2 linked regions of the Stegostoma tigrinum genome follow. The protein of the gene in region 1 interacts with the protein of each later gene in a pairwise test. Links are inferred from orthologs where the notes say so. Each region holds a gene or a part of one and is shown on either strand. Other genes may lie near its edges.

Region 1 (7,722 bases):
GAAACCAGTAGTGTCTCACATTTTGGTTCTGACCCTCCAGGGAGAGGCAAGAAACATCTTGCAGACACCCACGGCTGAGCAGCTTGTGATAGAAGCTACAGAGGAGGTGGGTAGGGAGGGATAGACTGAGATGGGAGTGGTTTTGTCCAAGAGAGGGGAGGCAGTGGGGCAGGGGAATTGATTCCTGGCTCTGTGTGGTTCGTTCAGGTGCAACATGGTACCCCAAGATTTTGCTGACTTTTCCTGCTGGCCGAACCCAGAGGACCGGATGTGTTTGTCGCTGTAAACATGAGATACAAACACTTTTGACAAGCCAGCTGAAGAGAAGTTCTGGTTTTGAGTGGATGACTTGGGAAATGAAACTGAAAGCCAATAATCACCCTGCGAGTTTAAATGTGATTAATTTTTTAAAAAATTCTCAGGAGTGTTTCAACTGGAAAACAAGTTGGGAGTTTTTTTGAGCCATCAATATTTTAATCAATGGTTATTTGTATATTTTTCCCTTATTTAGGAGGAATTAACCATAATTGCCCCATTGGTAAGTGATGACTGACTAGAGTGGTCAGCTTTTACATTACTGTCCAAGGGACAGCACTGAGTGAGCATCGCACTGTCGGAGGGTCAGTGCTGAGGGAGTGGGCACTGTCAGAGGGTCAGTGCTGAGGGAGTGGGCACTGTCAGAGGGTCAGTGCTGAGGGAGTGGGCACTGTCGGAGGGTCAGTGCTGAGGGAGTGGGCACTGTCAGAGGGTCAGTGCTGAGGGAGTGGGCACTGTCAGAGGGTCAGTGCTGAGGGTGTGGGCACTGTCGGAGGGTCAGTGCTGTGGGAGCGGGCACTGTCGGAGAGTCAGCGCTGAGGGAGTGGGCACTGTTGGAGGGTCAGTGCTGAGGGAGCACCGCACTGTCGGAGGGTCAGCGCTGAGGGAGTGGGCACTGTTGGAGGGTCAGTGCTGAGGGAGCACCGCACTGTCGGAGGGTCAGCGCTGAGGGAGCACCGCACTGTCGGAGGGTCAGCGCTGAGGGAGCACCGCACTGTCGGAGGGTCAGCGCTGAGGGAGCGGGCACTGTTGGAAGTCCTTAATCGCTGGAAATCCTGGCTTTGGAGGTGACTGTGTGGGACTTGAGCTGATGGTTACCTACCATCCTTCTCTGGACTTGGTTTCAGTTTTACAAACTGAGGGAATCAAAAGAAACAGAAACAGAAACTGAATACGTCCAGTAAAAGCACTTTCTTGCTCAGTTGAAGTTCTTGGGAACCTGATAAATTTCCCACACCTCAGTATTTGGACTAACTTACCAATCCAAATGAAGCCTTATTTTGCGCATCTTCCACTAGACTTTACAATTTGATTTTGTTGATTTAAAAAAAATAGAATTTGATGTAATCTCATTGTCCATTGTTTCAGAATGTATTGATCCCAGAGGAGGAGGAGGAAGGTCAGGGTTGATTTTGAAATAAGTTCTTGTCTTGCTGCTTCTGATACAAATGAGATGAAATTTGGTATTGCTTTCGATGGCTGCTGCACCAGACCAATTGGTGGTACCCTATCCTTGGCTACAATCTCTCTCTCCCTCCTGCTTTGCATGGCTCTCGAGATAAGCCAACTGGACTGAGAGAAAAAATAGGGTTAGGGTTAGGGTTAGGATGCTGCTTGGCCTGCTGTGTTCATCCAGCTTCACACTTTGTTATCCATGAGAGAAAAAATATTTTTCTTTGGGCAGAGAGATAGGAAGCACCGATGCAAGGTGATTAGAGTCATAAAGCTGTATAGCATGGAAACAGACTGTACAGTCCACCCCGTCCATGCTGACCAAACATCCCAAATTAATCCAGAGATAACAAAGTGCGGAGCTGGAGGAACATAGCAGGAGCCAAAAAGTTAGCTTTCCAGCTGCTCTGATGCTGCCTGGCCTGCTGTGTTCCTTCAGCTTCGCACTTTGTTATCTGACTCTAACATCTGCAGTTCTTGCTATATCTCTATATAAATCTAGTCCCATTCATCAGCATTTGACCCAAATCCTTCTAACCTCTTCTTATTCGTAAATCCCATCCAGATGATTTTTAAATACTGTAATTGTAACACCCTGCATCACTTCCTCTGGCACCATACATGCACCACCCTTTTTTACACTTTCCCCTCTCACTTTAAATCTCTGGCCCTCTAGTTTTGGATTCTTCCCCCTGGGGGAAAAACCCTTGGCTAGTCACCTAAGCTATGCCGCTCATGATTTTATAAACCTCTGCAAGGTTACCCCTCAGCCTCCAATGCTCCAGGGAAAATAGTGATCAGAGATAATGGGAACTGCAGATGCTAGACAATCCAAGATAATGAAATGTGAGGCTGGATGAACACAGCAGGCCAAGCAGCATCTTAGGAGCACAAAAGCTGAAGTTTTGAACCTGGACCCTTCATCAGAGAGGGGGATGGGGAGAGGATTCTAAAATAAATAGGGAGAGAGGGGGAGGCAGACCGAAGATGGATAGAGGAGAAGAAAAACTGCTCAATGTCTAGACGTGACTGGTATTCGTTGATGTGTGGGTGAAGGGGGACAAAGGTGAGCCCCTTGCTGAGGACTGACCGTTCGTCTTCCGTCACTCCCCATCCCCCTTTTCTGATGAAGGGTCTAGGCCCGAAATGTCAGCTTTTGTGCTCCTAAGATGCTGATTGGCCTGCTGTGTTCATCCAGCTCCACACCTTGTTATCTCCAGGGAAAACAGTCTATTCACCCTCTCCTTGTAGCTCAAGCCCTCCAGTTCCAGCAACATGCTTGTGTATATTTTCTGAAGCCTTTCAAGATTAGTGGCAGAATCGGAGGTGAAATGAGGAAAACTCATTTAGAGGATTTGGGCACAGCCGTGGAGGCCAACATTCATTGCCCGTCCCTTGGACGAAAGAGTCAACCACATTAAAGTGAGCCTGGAGTCACATGTAGGCTAGGCTGAGTTAAGACAGGGCAGATGGATAGTAGTGAACCCGGTGTGGCATCCTCTACATTGGGGAAAACCAAGCGGAGGCTTGGGGACCGCTTTGCAGAACACCTCCGCTCGGTTCGCAACAAACAACTGCACCTCCCAGTCGCGAACCATTTCCACTCCCCCTCCCATTCTTTAGATGACATGTCCATCATGGGCCTCCTGCACTGCCACAATGATGCCACCCGAAGGTTGCAGGAACAGCAACTCATATTCCGCTTGGGAACCCTGCAGCCCAATGGTATCAATGTGGACTTCACCAGCTTCAAAATCTCCCCTTCCCCCACCGCATCCCAAAACCAGCCCAGTTCGTCCCCTCCCCCCACTGCATCCCAAAACCAGCCCAGCTCTTCCCCCCCACCCACTGCATCCCAAAACCAGTCCAACCTGTCTCTGCCTCCCTAACCGGTTCTTCCTCTCACCCATCCCTTCCTCCCACCCCAAGCCGCACCCCCAGCTACCTACTAACCTCATCCCACCTCCTTGACCTGTCCGTCTTCCCTGGACTGACCTATCCCCTCCCTACCTCCCCACCTACACTCTCTCCACCTATCTTCTTTACTCTCCATCTTCGGTCCGCCTCCCCCTCTCTCCCTATTTATTCCAGTTCCCTCTCCCCATCCCCCTCTCTGATGAAGGGTCTAGGCCTGAAACGTCAGCTTTTGTGCTCCTGAGATGCTGCTGGGCCTGCTGTGTTCATCCAGCCTCACATTTTATTATCTGTAGTAGTGAACTGCAGTTGGGATCTGGAATGTCACAGCCTGAGAGGCAGGAACCGGATAACTATCCGAAGAGGGAGGATTTGCAGAATAAAGGTGGGAGAGTAGCTCAAGCCAAGTTGCTCAGGTAGCGGAGGGCATGGAAGCGACGGGCCAAATCGTTGCGACCAATCGCTGAGGCGGCCCCCGGTAACTGCGGAACCCATGAGTGTGTACTGCAGGCGAAGCCGATCTCCGAAGAGCAAAGAAAATTAAATAGACCCGCTCCAGATCAGACGGTGCCATTCATAAATCCGGTTAACTGCGGGAAGTGGGGGAGGGAGAATGACGTGCTGACAGACCAATCGCAGCCCGATATACAGACGTATGGTGGCGGATTGGCTATTGGCTTTTGGCTTGGCCCTGTGTCCAATCGTAAAGTGACAGGGTGGGTCAATCAGTTTGAATGTCGGGCAGACAGTCCAATCGGGAATGGCCATGGGCGGCGGCTCCGCGCGACGGGAACCGTTAACCGTGATTGACAGCGCGGCAGCCCATTCAGAGTGTAGAAAATGGCACGGAGTCGCCGCAGGTGACGGCCGCCATCCAGTCAGCGTCGAGAGGAGGCGGATCTGGCGGTTGTCGCGCGCCTCCCTCACTCAGGAACAAACATCCACCCTGTTCGGTCCGCACCAACGGACTTTCCAGGAATCCTACCAGCGGCCAATGGGTGAGCGGGGGCGAGCGTATCGTCCAATCGGTGAGCCGTTATCTGGAGTGGGCGGGGGTTCGCGTTTGATCGATGGGCGCAGCGAGCAATGGAAGTGGAGACAGCGCATGATGGAAGGTGCACTGTGGCCAATGGGCGTGACGGAAAGCGCACGTTGGTGAGGGATTGGGCCGGTGGGCGACCAATGAGCGACGGGCGGGCGGGGTTGCGCGAGGTGGTGTTGTGGGGGGCGGGGCGGTTTTTTTTAATAACCGGAGCCGAGCGGCCGGGAGGGTTTTTTTTTTCCTCCCTCGTCCGTCGCCGTCCCGTCGGTGATTGCTCCCCCCGCTCCCAACCCCCTTCCCGAGCCCGGCCGGCTGGCTGGAAGGAAGGTGGGCAGCACCATGGACGGGCTGGCCGTGGAAGTGCGCGGCTCGAACGGCGCTTTTTACAAGGTGAGGGGAGCGGCCGGCGGATCGGAGCCCCAGCGCCGAGAGAGAGAGCGAGCCAACTCCAGACGCAGGCTGCGGCCTAGTGTCTGAGGGCCGGGCCCAAGATGAGCCTGTCGCCTTCAGGCCGGAAAGGGGGGAGGGGGGGGTGGCCGAATGGGGGACGAGAACCAATGTGCCCTTAGCCTCTGTCCGCGCCCCCCCACCCCTCTCTATCCCTTCACTCTTCACCCCTTCCCACCCCTTCCCTCTTCTTCCTTCCTTACTTCCCCACCACCCCCAAAATCTGCCTCCATCTCCCTCTCTTTCCCACCCCCCCCCCCCCCCATCACAGCCCTTCCCCTTCCAGCAATCTGACTCCTTCACACCCACCCCACACACACCCCCCACCCCCCCGGACCGATCTCCCTCCTTCACCACCCCCAGCCCCCCTCTCTTTTCTCTTTCTCCTCCCCGCCCCCCCACCCACCCCAATTCTGAACTCCCTCCTTCACCCTTCTCTCCCCCTCTCCCCCCCCCCCCCCGGACCAATTTCTCCCCCTCTCCCCCCCCCCCCGGACCAATTTCTCCCCCTCCCCCTCCCCCCCCCCCCGGACCAATTTCTCCCCCCCCCCCCCCCGGACCAATTTCTCCCCCCCCCCCCCCCCCCCGGACCAATTTCTCCCCCCCCCCCCCCCGGACCAATTTCTCCCCCCCCGGACCAATTTCTCCCCCCCCCCCCCCCGGACCAATTTCTCTCTCTCTCTTCCCCCCCCCCCCCCCTCCCCGGACCAATCTCCCTACTCCACCTCATCACCCCCACCCACCCCCCCACTGCCCCTCCGGACCAATATTCCTCCTGCACCCCACCAACCCCCCCCCCCCCCCCCCAAACCCCGGACCAATTTCTCTCCTTCACCCCCGTCCCCAGGACCGATCTCTGTCCTTCACCACCCCCATTCTCCTCTCTCCTCCCTCTTTCCCCCCCCCCCCCCCCCCCCCCCAGGAGCAATCTCCCTCCTCCTCTCCCCTTCACCCATCCCACCACCCCGGACCAATCAGGTGGCCCTGAATTATATGAAGCTTTGTGTTGGATCTGCACCATCCATGAAAGTGGGAGTATTCTGTATCTTGTGGTGCGGATTTGGGAATCGGGAGACTGGAATGGTTGGGTTGGCTTTGTCCTGTTTGTTTTCGAGATAGGATATACTGGGTGCTTTTTGACACCTACCTGATTAAAGTTACTGTTGCTCTAGCACAGCTTGGCTAGAGGTTCTACCAGTTCTGTACTTTAGTATTGCAGATGGAAGTCAAGCCCTCTAATCTTTACTGAGTCCAGTGCGTTCAGATATTTCTTGATACCATGTGTGAATTGAATGAACTGAAGTCTGGCATCTGTAATGTTCGGAGATTGATGGATCTTACAAATGTTGCAAGCAGGAGGTGGCTATTTGGTGCTTTGAGCCTTCTTTGATCTTGTCAATAAGATCATGACTCATCTGCCTTTTTCAGATTCCACATTCCATGTACTTTGATAATGCTTGATTCTCCCACCTAACAAGAATCTGTCTCAAAGATATTTTAGTGACCTTGCCACCACCTCGGGCAGACTTACAATATCATACAACACTGGGTTTCTCCTCTTCAATGTCTTAAAAGTTTGACCCCTAGTTGTTACAGATCTGTCATCTTGAGTTGCAGCAGTCTGAGGTACAGGAATACATAGTGCTGTAAGGGTAACCAGGAATTCTGACCCAGCTGCACTGCAAGAATACAATATATTTCCGAGCCAGGATGGTGTGAAGCTTGAAGTGGGGTGTTTCCTTCTGTCTGGCTTCCCTCATCCTTGATAGACAACCTATAACCGTACTAAGGAGCTTTGGTGGATAGTACACTATTATGCATTGGTGGTGGAGGGTGTGGATGTGGTGTCAATCAAGCAGGTGCTTTGTCCTGGATGCTGTCAAGCTTGTATTGTTGTTGCTGCACCCATCTAGTAAGTGGGAAGTATTCCATCACCCTCCATAGAGTCTTGTGCCTTTAGAAGATAGTGGATAGGCTTTGGAGATTCGGAGGTAATTTACTTCCAAGACGCGCAGCCTTGACTTGCTCTTGTAGCCACCGTTTGGTGCTAGTGTTCAATTTCTGGTCAGTGGTAACCCCCAGTGCATTATGAGGGATTTGGCAATGGCAATGCCATTACACTTCAAAGGAAAGTGAGATTTGCTTTTGTTTTGAGATAGTGATTGCTTGGTATGTGTGGTGTGAATGTTATTTGACACTTGTCAGCCGGAGTTTGGATATTGTCCAGCTCTTGCTGCATTTGCGCATGGACTGTTTCAGCATCTGAGGAGCTGTGAATGGTGTTGAACATTGTGCAATCGTCAGCAAATACCCCCATATCTCATCTTGGGATTTGTGGAAGGTTGTTGAAGCAATTGAAGGTGGTTGGTCCTCAGACTGTACTGAGGAATTCTTTGCTCTTGTTTGTGCAGTTGATGGAGGCTAATTGCAACGTGATTGAGTAGGAACTGGAAAAATTAGATTGGAGTGGCTGTTTGAGGGTAAGTTCATATCTGACACACATCTGATCAACTTGGAATGTTCCTGTCGGGATGAAAGATAGGATGGCATGATCCTGAGATGTTGCACGACAAGCCATTGAAGTTAGTCGAAAGAGAAAAAGAAGTATATGTAAGGCTGAGGAAACAAATCCGACAAGCCCTTGAGAATAAAGGAGGCAGAAAATCTTAGAAAAGATACTAGGAGGGCTAGCATAGACCAAGGGAAATGTCTTTGGCAAATGGGACTAAGGAGAATCCCAAGGTATTTTATACATAGAAGCATGAGGGTAGCTCAGGAAAAGGTAGCTCTACACAAGGATAAAAGTGGGAATTTGTTGAACTAAAGGAAAT
Region 2 (7,379 bases), on another chromosome or scaffold:
ATATTATTATTTCTGATGTATCAAAAGATAACCAACCTCAGCTTGAGGTTTAAACCTTATAGCTCAAAGCCAACCAATGGACTCTAAATGACATATTCTTCCATCTTTCTTTGTACTTGACAGCATCCCATTTGGCTTTCTACGGTGGGAGTGTCCAATTGACTGCACACAGGCCAAGTACTTAAGGCCTTGCCATTGCTGTTCTTCTCCGGTTTTGGAAGTAATACATTTTCTTCCTTTAACTCAAGAAAATCTTCTGATTTTCTCCTTACTGCATAAAGTAAAAAGTAATTAAATGCAACTTTATTGGAGAAAGTTTTAACCTGGCAGTAAAGAGAACCAATATCTCTGTTGTGGTTATGAGAAGGGTGAACAGATGTGAGCCAGCTCCCCCCTCCACTTCTCATCCAGCTGTAAGTTCAATACCCCATAGGAATGATAACACAAGATAATACTTCATACTGTACCCTCAATGCAGTGATGAAATATCAGCCTTGATTGTCTGTTCAAACCTGTTCTACAGAGTGGTGCTTCAGCTCACAGCCACTGCCTCAAAGGAGAGTGTTCCACTAAGCTAATTCTCAAATTGGTTCCAAATGATGCTCCAGCAGTCATGGAAAAAAATCTGTAATCATTTTCTAAAATTGAAGGATAGTTCCTGCCAAAAGCATGAGGAAGAAAATATTTGAATAACTTAATTTGCTGGACTTACTTGTTTCTAACGACAGTGCTGAAAAAAAATTACAGCTTTATGGCTTTTTGATGTTTTACTCACACCTTGTCGCTTTTAATTTTTTTTAATTTAGTGGATACTTGATTATAAAAAGTTTAACAGTTAAATTGGTATTGCACCTCAAAAGCACACCCCTTTGGGAATACTGCTCCTCTAAATGGTGTGATGTTATAAATTCACACTAGACACAACATCTAGTTTACAGATGTACAGTATAAATTAGATTTTAAAAAATCTTGGAGATTCTGATTTTATACACCAATTCCACATCCTGAGTTATGAATTTATAGAAAAAAGTTCCAACAAGCTGTTTTCAGAATGCACATATTGGAGTTTTTAAAAACTGGCATTATTAAATAAATGTGATAATGCGAACTGCAGATGCTGGAGAATCCAAGATAACAAAGTGTGAAGCTGGATGAACACAGCAAGCCAAGCAGCATCTCAGGAGCACAAAAGCTGACGTTTCGGACCTCGACCCGTCATCAGAGAGATCCTCTCTCTGATGACGGGTCGAGGCCCGAAACGTCAGTTTTTGTGCTCCTGAGATGCTGCTTGGCCTGCTGTGTTCATCCAGCTTCACACTTTATTATCATTATTAAGTAAATCATTGCTCTTAAAGCTGCATTCAATTAACATATGTTTGTATGATTTTTAAAAATCTAAATCAGTTTTCCTACGTCGACAACACATCCTTCCAAAGTAACCCAGTCAACATGTAGGCATATAAGGGGCAAACCTAATTCCCTCAAAGAGTGGCAGAAAATTAAAATTATTAAACTGTAACACATAACCCCAACCTACTAGCCCACATCAAATTGAATGTAGGAACATTTGGTTACCTGCAAGTAACCTGATCACCGCAAGTAAGTCAAATCATTATTAAATGGTAATGTGAAATGAATTGTAATTCATCAGGATTTCTGAACTTAAAATATCTCCATCATAGGATTACCAGGCAAAATTAAACTCATTAGTGAAACATATGAGTTGAAAGCAAGTGAAGTTCCAATTGCCCAATATAACTGAAGACTCTGTGTTTGAAGCTGCTTTTTCAGTTCTCTGAACCAAAATGTTTTATAAATGTTCTTGAGATTATAGCTGTTTTTCAGAAGTTTTTAAAGCTTTCAAATGGATTTCAGGAAAGAGAATGGCACCATGGATGTTTCAAAATTATAATTAGCTAAACATAAAGAATCCATCTGAGGAAGGGTCACTCGACCCAAAACATTAACTGATTTCTCTCCACAGATGCTGCCAAACCTGCTGAGGTTTTCCGGCGGTTTTTATTTTTGTCTCCGATTTATAGCATCTGCAGATCTTTTGATTTTTATAAAAAAATCCTTTCCAGGTGTTGATTCCCCAAGGATCCCATATAATACTCCAACCATTTTATCCAGGTTGATAATGGCCACGTAATATATGTAACTGGACTAGCAATCCAGAGTCACTAGACTCAGGTTCTGAGACTATGCATTTGAATTCCACCGTGGCAGGTGCCAAAATTCAAATTTGATTACAAAAATCAAAAATTAGTCTAATTGCAATTATGTAACAATCATTGTTTGTCATAAATACCCATCTGACTCATTAGCATCCTTTAGAGATGGGAATCTGCCATCATCACCCATTCTAGCTTACACGAGACTCCATAGCCATAACTTTTAAGTGTTCGGTGAAATTGGCTAGCAAGCCAAACAGTTCAAGGGCAGTTAGGGTTGGGCAAAAAGTGCTGGCAGAGCCAGTGATGCACAGATCCCATAAATCAATAAATAAAAAGTCTCTTTCCCAAATTTTTAAGTTAACAAAGTCCTTACTGCTGATGATACTGCTTTTCTATTGCATATAATGTGTAAAGTGTTTACTAGAGGAACCTTGCAAAGGAGCCTTTTAATAAGTATCCCATATATTGTAAACTAAGCATCAGATGGGAGTCAGTGTTGTTTTATTCTATCAATAAATTTTAAAACAGTGTACCTTCTGTAGCATATATTACATGTGATGCACTCTGGAACACAGGCCAAGCATAATTGCTAGCCAACATTTGTCACAACTGCATTGACATTGATAGCCTTCCAAATGCCCAGTGATTTTACAGTGAGCTTAGAAAAAAGTAAAATAAAAATCAACATCGGATTTAAATAAGTTATTTTAATTAGTGGTATGCTACATTTGAGTTTTCAAAGACAGCTAGAAAATGAATTTCTTGCATTAGGCAATTAAAAGTAATTTGTGCGAGGACCATTTTTTGAATTGTTCATGCAGTTTGGATATTTAAGATTCTGCACAATGCCAACTTGATCAAATCTGTGCCTGTTAAGACACATATTCTAGTCAGCTTATTTTCAGAACAGAATTACATAGAAAGGCAGCAGAAACCTGGGAGTGGTCAGGAGTATGGAATTTACTAAAGTAATTGATGAAAACAGTAAGGATCAATTTAACTTAAATATAAGTTTGTGATATATTGAAAGGGTTAGAACTAGTTGTGGGGACATAGGAGGGAGTTTGTAAGCAACATTAAGACTAGAATGCAGTAACCAGTTGGGCTGAATGAACTTAGGAGCTATACATTCTGTAGTTCTGGAATGGTTAGGGGATTTCAGCAGAAGATATGGTCAGAAATGATCAGATGTCTCAACAGATGGTGCCAGACCTGCTGATAGTTTCCAGCAACTTGTTTTTGTTTTTTTTTCACTTTTTATTTGGTAAGAACATTATTCTGGAGAATTACAAAAATTAGTTAAAAATACACATCTCATCCAAATACAGAACTCTAATAACTTGTCATCGACATTTCATTCACTTCTTTTTCATACAACTTCACACAATACAGATAAGTAACTCCTGAATATGTTTTTTTAGGACTCAAAACTGAATAAAACGAACGTACTGACAAATATGTAAAGATTGATGAAATTTGTCACTTCAGTTTGAGTACTTTGGCTAAACATTTCCATTCGAGAGTAATTATACTAATTTGTTGGGAGAGCTTTATTTTCCCCTGGAGAATAAACAATTTTTAAAAAAATTCAACATAAATAGTATCATAAAGTAAGGTTTTGGATGGCAGACACAGAACTCCACAGAAGCTGTGATAGTGTTAGGGTTTTAAGGGAAACTACTAAAAGGTTTCCAGTATCATTTTTAAATCTCTACCTCCTTACAGCATTTCTGCATTGTTAAACAATGTGCTTAGAAAATATTAAGTCAATACAGCACTTTTCTCTGCCCAGTTTAGTGCCTTCCGCGCCCATAAGAACATAGAACAATGCCCACGATAGCCCACGATGTTGTGCCGACCTATTACCCTAGACTAAGATGAAACTACTCTACGTTCTACTATAAGTAATAGCAGAACCAACAACTGCAGCAGAACTTCAGTTATCATAATGTTTCTGTATTTGTGTATGAAATCTGTTCTGCCTCGGCTGTAGCACGAAATCCTGCTATCTGTGTTACCTGTGCTGCAGTGCCACCAATCCGAGGGCGATAACGTGGGGCACGTCCAAGTGAGTCGGCCACTCGCCAGCAGCGACACAGCCAAACACGCCACACTCCTCCCGGATCCCCGATTCTTCAAACTCCATGCCAGTTCCACACTAACTACCCCAACGAAAAGTGAGTGAACAAAACCCCAGCCCACCCACTACCAGGCTAACTATTTCAAAGTAATACACTCACTCCCCGCTCCTCATTATCTAGCTCGTATTCTTTTTCTCCCTAGCTCCCAGGAGTCAACACGTGCCTCACTAAACCCGCCACCACCCCCACATGTCACGGACCTCTCCAAAACGTTGAGGGTGTGCAAATTAATTAGATAAATGCATGTAAATAATTTTTCGTTGTTTTTAGAACTTATCATATGTGAACGTTAGAAACTGATGATCAATTTGTAATATGTATAATACATACATATATATTTATATATATACGCCGTCCCTTCTTTATGCAAACGTGTTCCTTTCATTGCAGACTCTTCACCACCCCCCTTATCCCTCTCGTCTTGGTACATCTCATTCAAATTTCGGAACGTTCTAAAACCGAACGCGCGGCTGTTAGAAGCACGAGATCGTGAGAGGGGCCTACGGTAGGAGATTCTGGCCTGGTGTGTGGGTACATAGCTATGAGGTCCTCGGGGTAGCGAAATATGGAGACAGTAGCGGACGTGTGCGGGGTAGAGGAGGAAGTGGGGTATCTGTGGAGGGTGGGCAAACTCTCGCTGGGGAAAGGCATCATTGAGGTGTACCCCGGGGTTGGTGGAGAGGGAGGCTTGGCGTGCATTCCGTGGAAAGCACATTGCGGCCTGTTGTGTGTTATGTTTTTCTTCTTTAAAGAATTTAAATACTTTTTTTGTTTTAAAGTTGTAGATTTGCAAAGTTTTCCCAAGATGGAGAAGTTTGGAGGTAAGTAAAATTTCCAAGCTCCCTCTTGGATTAACCGCGACCGCTTTTACTTGACGGCTCTACCACAGTATTTACGGTGCTAAAATCTCGCAAAGAGACAGTTTCGAAACTGTACCGCATGAAAGAAAACGACCAGTACACCCTCGGTTGGAATTGTATTGTTGCTATTCATCTGTCAGTGCTTCCGAGATGAATTTCTTTTGTTGAACCTCAGTAACATGTTATGACATTCAGCCTTGTGATTTTTTTTCTTTTAAAAAATTGCTTTTTTTTCTGGTTTTAAACCAGTCAACAATTTAAAAATGTTCAGTGGCTTTAAAAGTGAATGATTTCACGTTTTAAATAATCCTTTTATTTTCCGAAGAGCTGAAAATTGGAAAAAAACTAAATGAAGGAAAAACCAAGGAAGTATACGAACTGTTGGATTGTCCCGGGCAAGTTCTGATTCAGTCCAAGGACCAGATTACGGCTGGAAATGCAGTCAGGAAAGACCAGATGGTGGGCAAGGCTGCGATATCTACTAAAACCACTGTTTCTATCTTCAAACTGCTGCAGGATGCTGGTAAGACTTCTGCTACTGACATCGGGCAGGATATGTGCATCTTCTGTAATATTTGTGTTCATGCTTTTTTCTTTTTAAGGCATCAAAACTGCGTTTGAGAAACAATATGGGGAAACAGCATTTGTGGCAGCAAACTGTGAAATGATTCCTATTGAGTGGGTTTGTAGAAGAATTGCCACAGGCTCTTTTCTGAAAAGAAATCCTGGTGTAAAGGAAGGATACAAGTTCTGTCCTCCAAAGATGGAGATGTTCTTTAAGGTAGTGTAACATGTTTGCTGCTATTAGTTTTGATGTGGTTGAGGTGTTAATAACCATTTTCTAGTTGTGTAAACAAAACTTTGCTTTTCCATCCATCTTTAATATCCCTTTGAAATCACTAATCATTTCAGCTTCTGTACTTTTTCAGCTGGGGTCTTGTGTCAAAACTCTGTCTGCCATATTACATACAGTGGGTCAAGAACCACCGCTTTGGGCTTCATCCTGTCCACTAACATGACAAACTCTTCAGGTGGTTGCACAATGATGCAGAGTTGGGGGGGGGGGGGGGGAGCGGTGCGGTGAAGAAGAGAAAGAGAGTTGCCTTTTTGGAATCTGAATATTGGCAGTGAACTTGAAGTCTCATGGCATCTGGACAAACACTGATTTGGAAAATGTTAGGATGACCAGCATTGTGGAGCCCCTGGCTCAGTCTGTGTTCCTCAATTTTGAACACTTTGAAAGAACTAATGAGGGTGGTAAGGGCAGAAAATGTATTTTGGTTGGGAGCTGTCATATTCAAGGGCAAGATTGGCAAGTCTGCAGCTTAATGAACCAATGAAGGGGAAGAAAACTATTTTTAACTTCCTCATTAAATGTTAATTTTGTCATGTATCAATCCATAATGGTATTTTTGAGTGACATCAAAATGTCATCTGAGACAAAGTCCTGTCATCGTGTTTGAGGATACTGTCCAACATGTTGTATGATACCAACACTGTGTGCTAAAAGGAACAAAAACAGAAGGTGCTGGAAAAGCTGAGAGTCAGGCAGCATCTGAAGAAAACAGCAAAGTTAATGTTTCAGAGCTGGTGACCTTTCCTTTTAGAACCCTAAAAGGGAACTTGGAACACTTGGGCAACTTCATACTGAGCACACGTGAGCCCATCAGGAGAATTGTGGTGGAATACAGTCTGTAACCTCATGACCACAATGTACCTGTATCCTACCATTTTCATTCAACCTGGCTCAGTGGTGTGTGCGTGCGTGTCCTTATGAAAGAAAAAGATTTTTAATCTGGAGCTGCAACACAAGGCTAGTTGCATATGAAGCAGACTGGAGTAAACAGCTTTTTCTTTGCAACAAACTGATCAAGTGTCAGCTAGCATTCCTGCCAATTCCCCCCTCAAATGATTCTGAGCAGTTAAATGACTAACAAGCTCCCTAAATGTCCCCATTCTCAATGATGGGGAAGCCTCAGCTGCCTTCTAATGGCTGAAGATTAGCATCTTTTGATATGGGAGACATATCTAGCACAAAGGAGGATGGTTGGGGTTGTGTGAGTTTAAAGACTTCACTGCAGAAGTTGTTTCCTCTGGTGTCCCAGCCCTAACCATCTTTGGTTACTCCCAGCAGTGACCTTCCCTCCATCACAAAATCAAATGTGCAAACTTTCCAAAATGTTTAATGCCATTCAGGACTC

What was found.
Region 2: the proteins of RNA-binding protein FXR1-like (region 1) and paics interact in binary tests that used the Homo sapiens proteins (3 or more experiments, as listed by UniProt). The link is inferred for Stegostoma tigrinum from reciprocal best matches to the Homo sapiens genes FXR2 and PAICS.

Annotation. Positions count from the first base shown.
Region 1 is NC_081398.1:2,575,758-2,583,479, reverse strand, and holds the start of RNA-binding protein FXR1-like, read left to right. Parts: upstream 1-4,642; 5' UTR 4,643-4,783; coding exon 4,784-4,834; intron 4,835-7,722. UniProt on the Homo sapiens protein: mRNA-binding protein that acts as a regulator of mRNAs translation and/or stability, and which is required for adult hippocampal neurogenesis. Specifically binds to AU-rich elements (AREs) in the 3'-UTR of target mRNAs.
Region 2 is NC_081354.1:109,761,667-109,769,045, forward strand, and holds the start of paics (multifunctional protein ADE2), read left to right. Parts: upstream 1-4,338; 5' UTR 4,339-4,354; exon of another isoform or gene 4,355-4,492; intron 4,493-4,708; 5' UTR 4,709-4,823; exon of another isoform or gene 4,824-4,841; intron 4,842-5,097; 5' UTR 5,098-5,123; coding exon 5,124-5,139; intron 5,140-5,503; coding exon 5,504-5,701; intron 5,702-5,780; coding exon 5,781-5,959; intron 5,960-7,379. Other genes in the region: ppat (amidophosphoribosyltransferase), read right to left, coding at 4,196-4,323. UniProt on the Homo sapiens protein: Bifunctional phosphoribosylaminoimidazole carboxylase and phosphoribosylaminoimidazole succinocarboxamide synthetase catalyzing two reactions of the de novo purine biosynthetic pathway.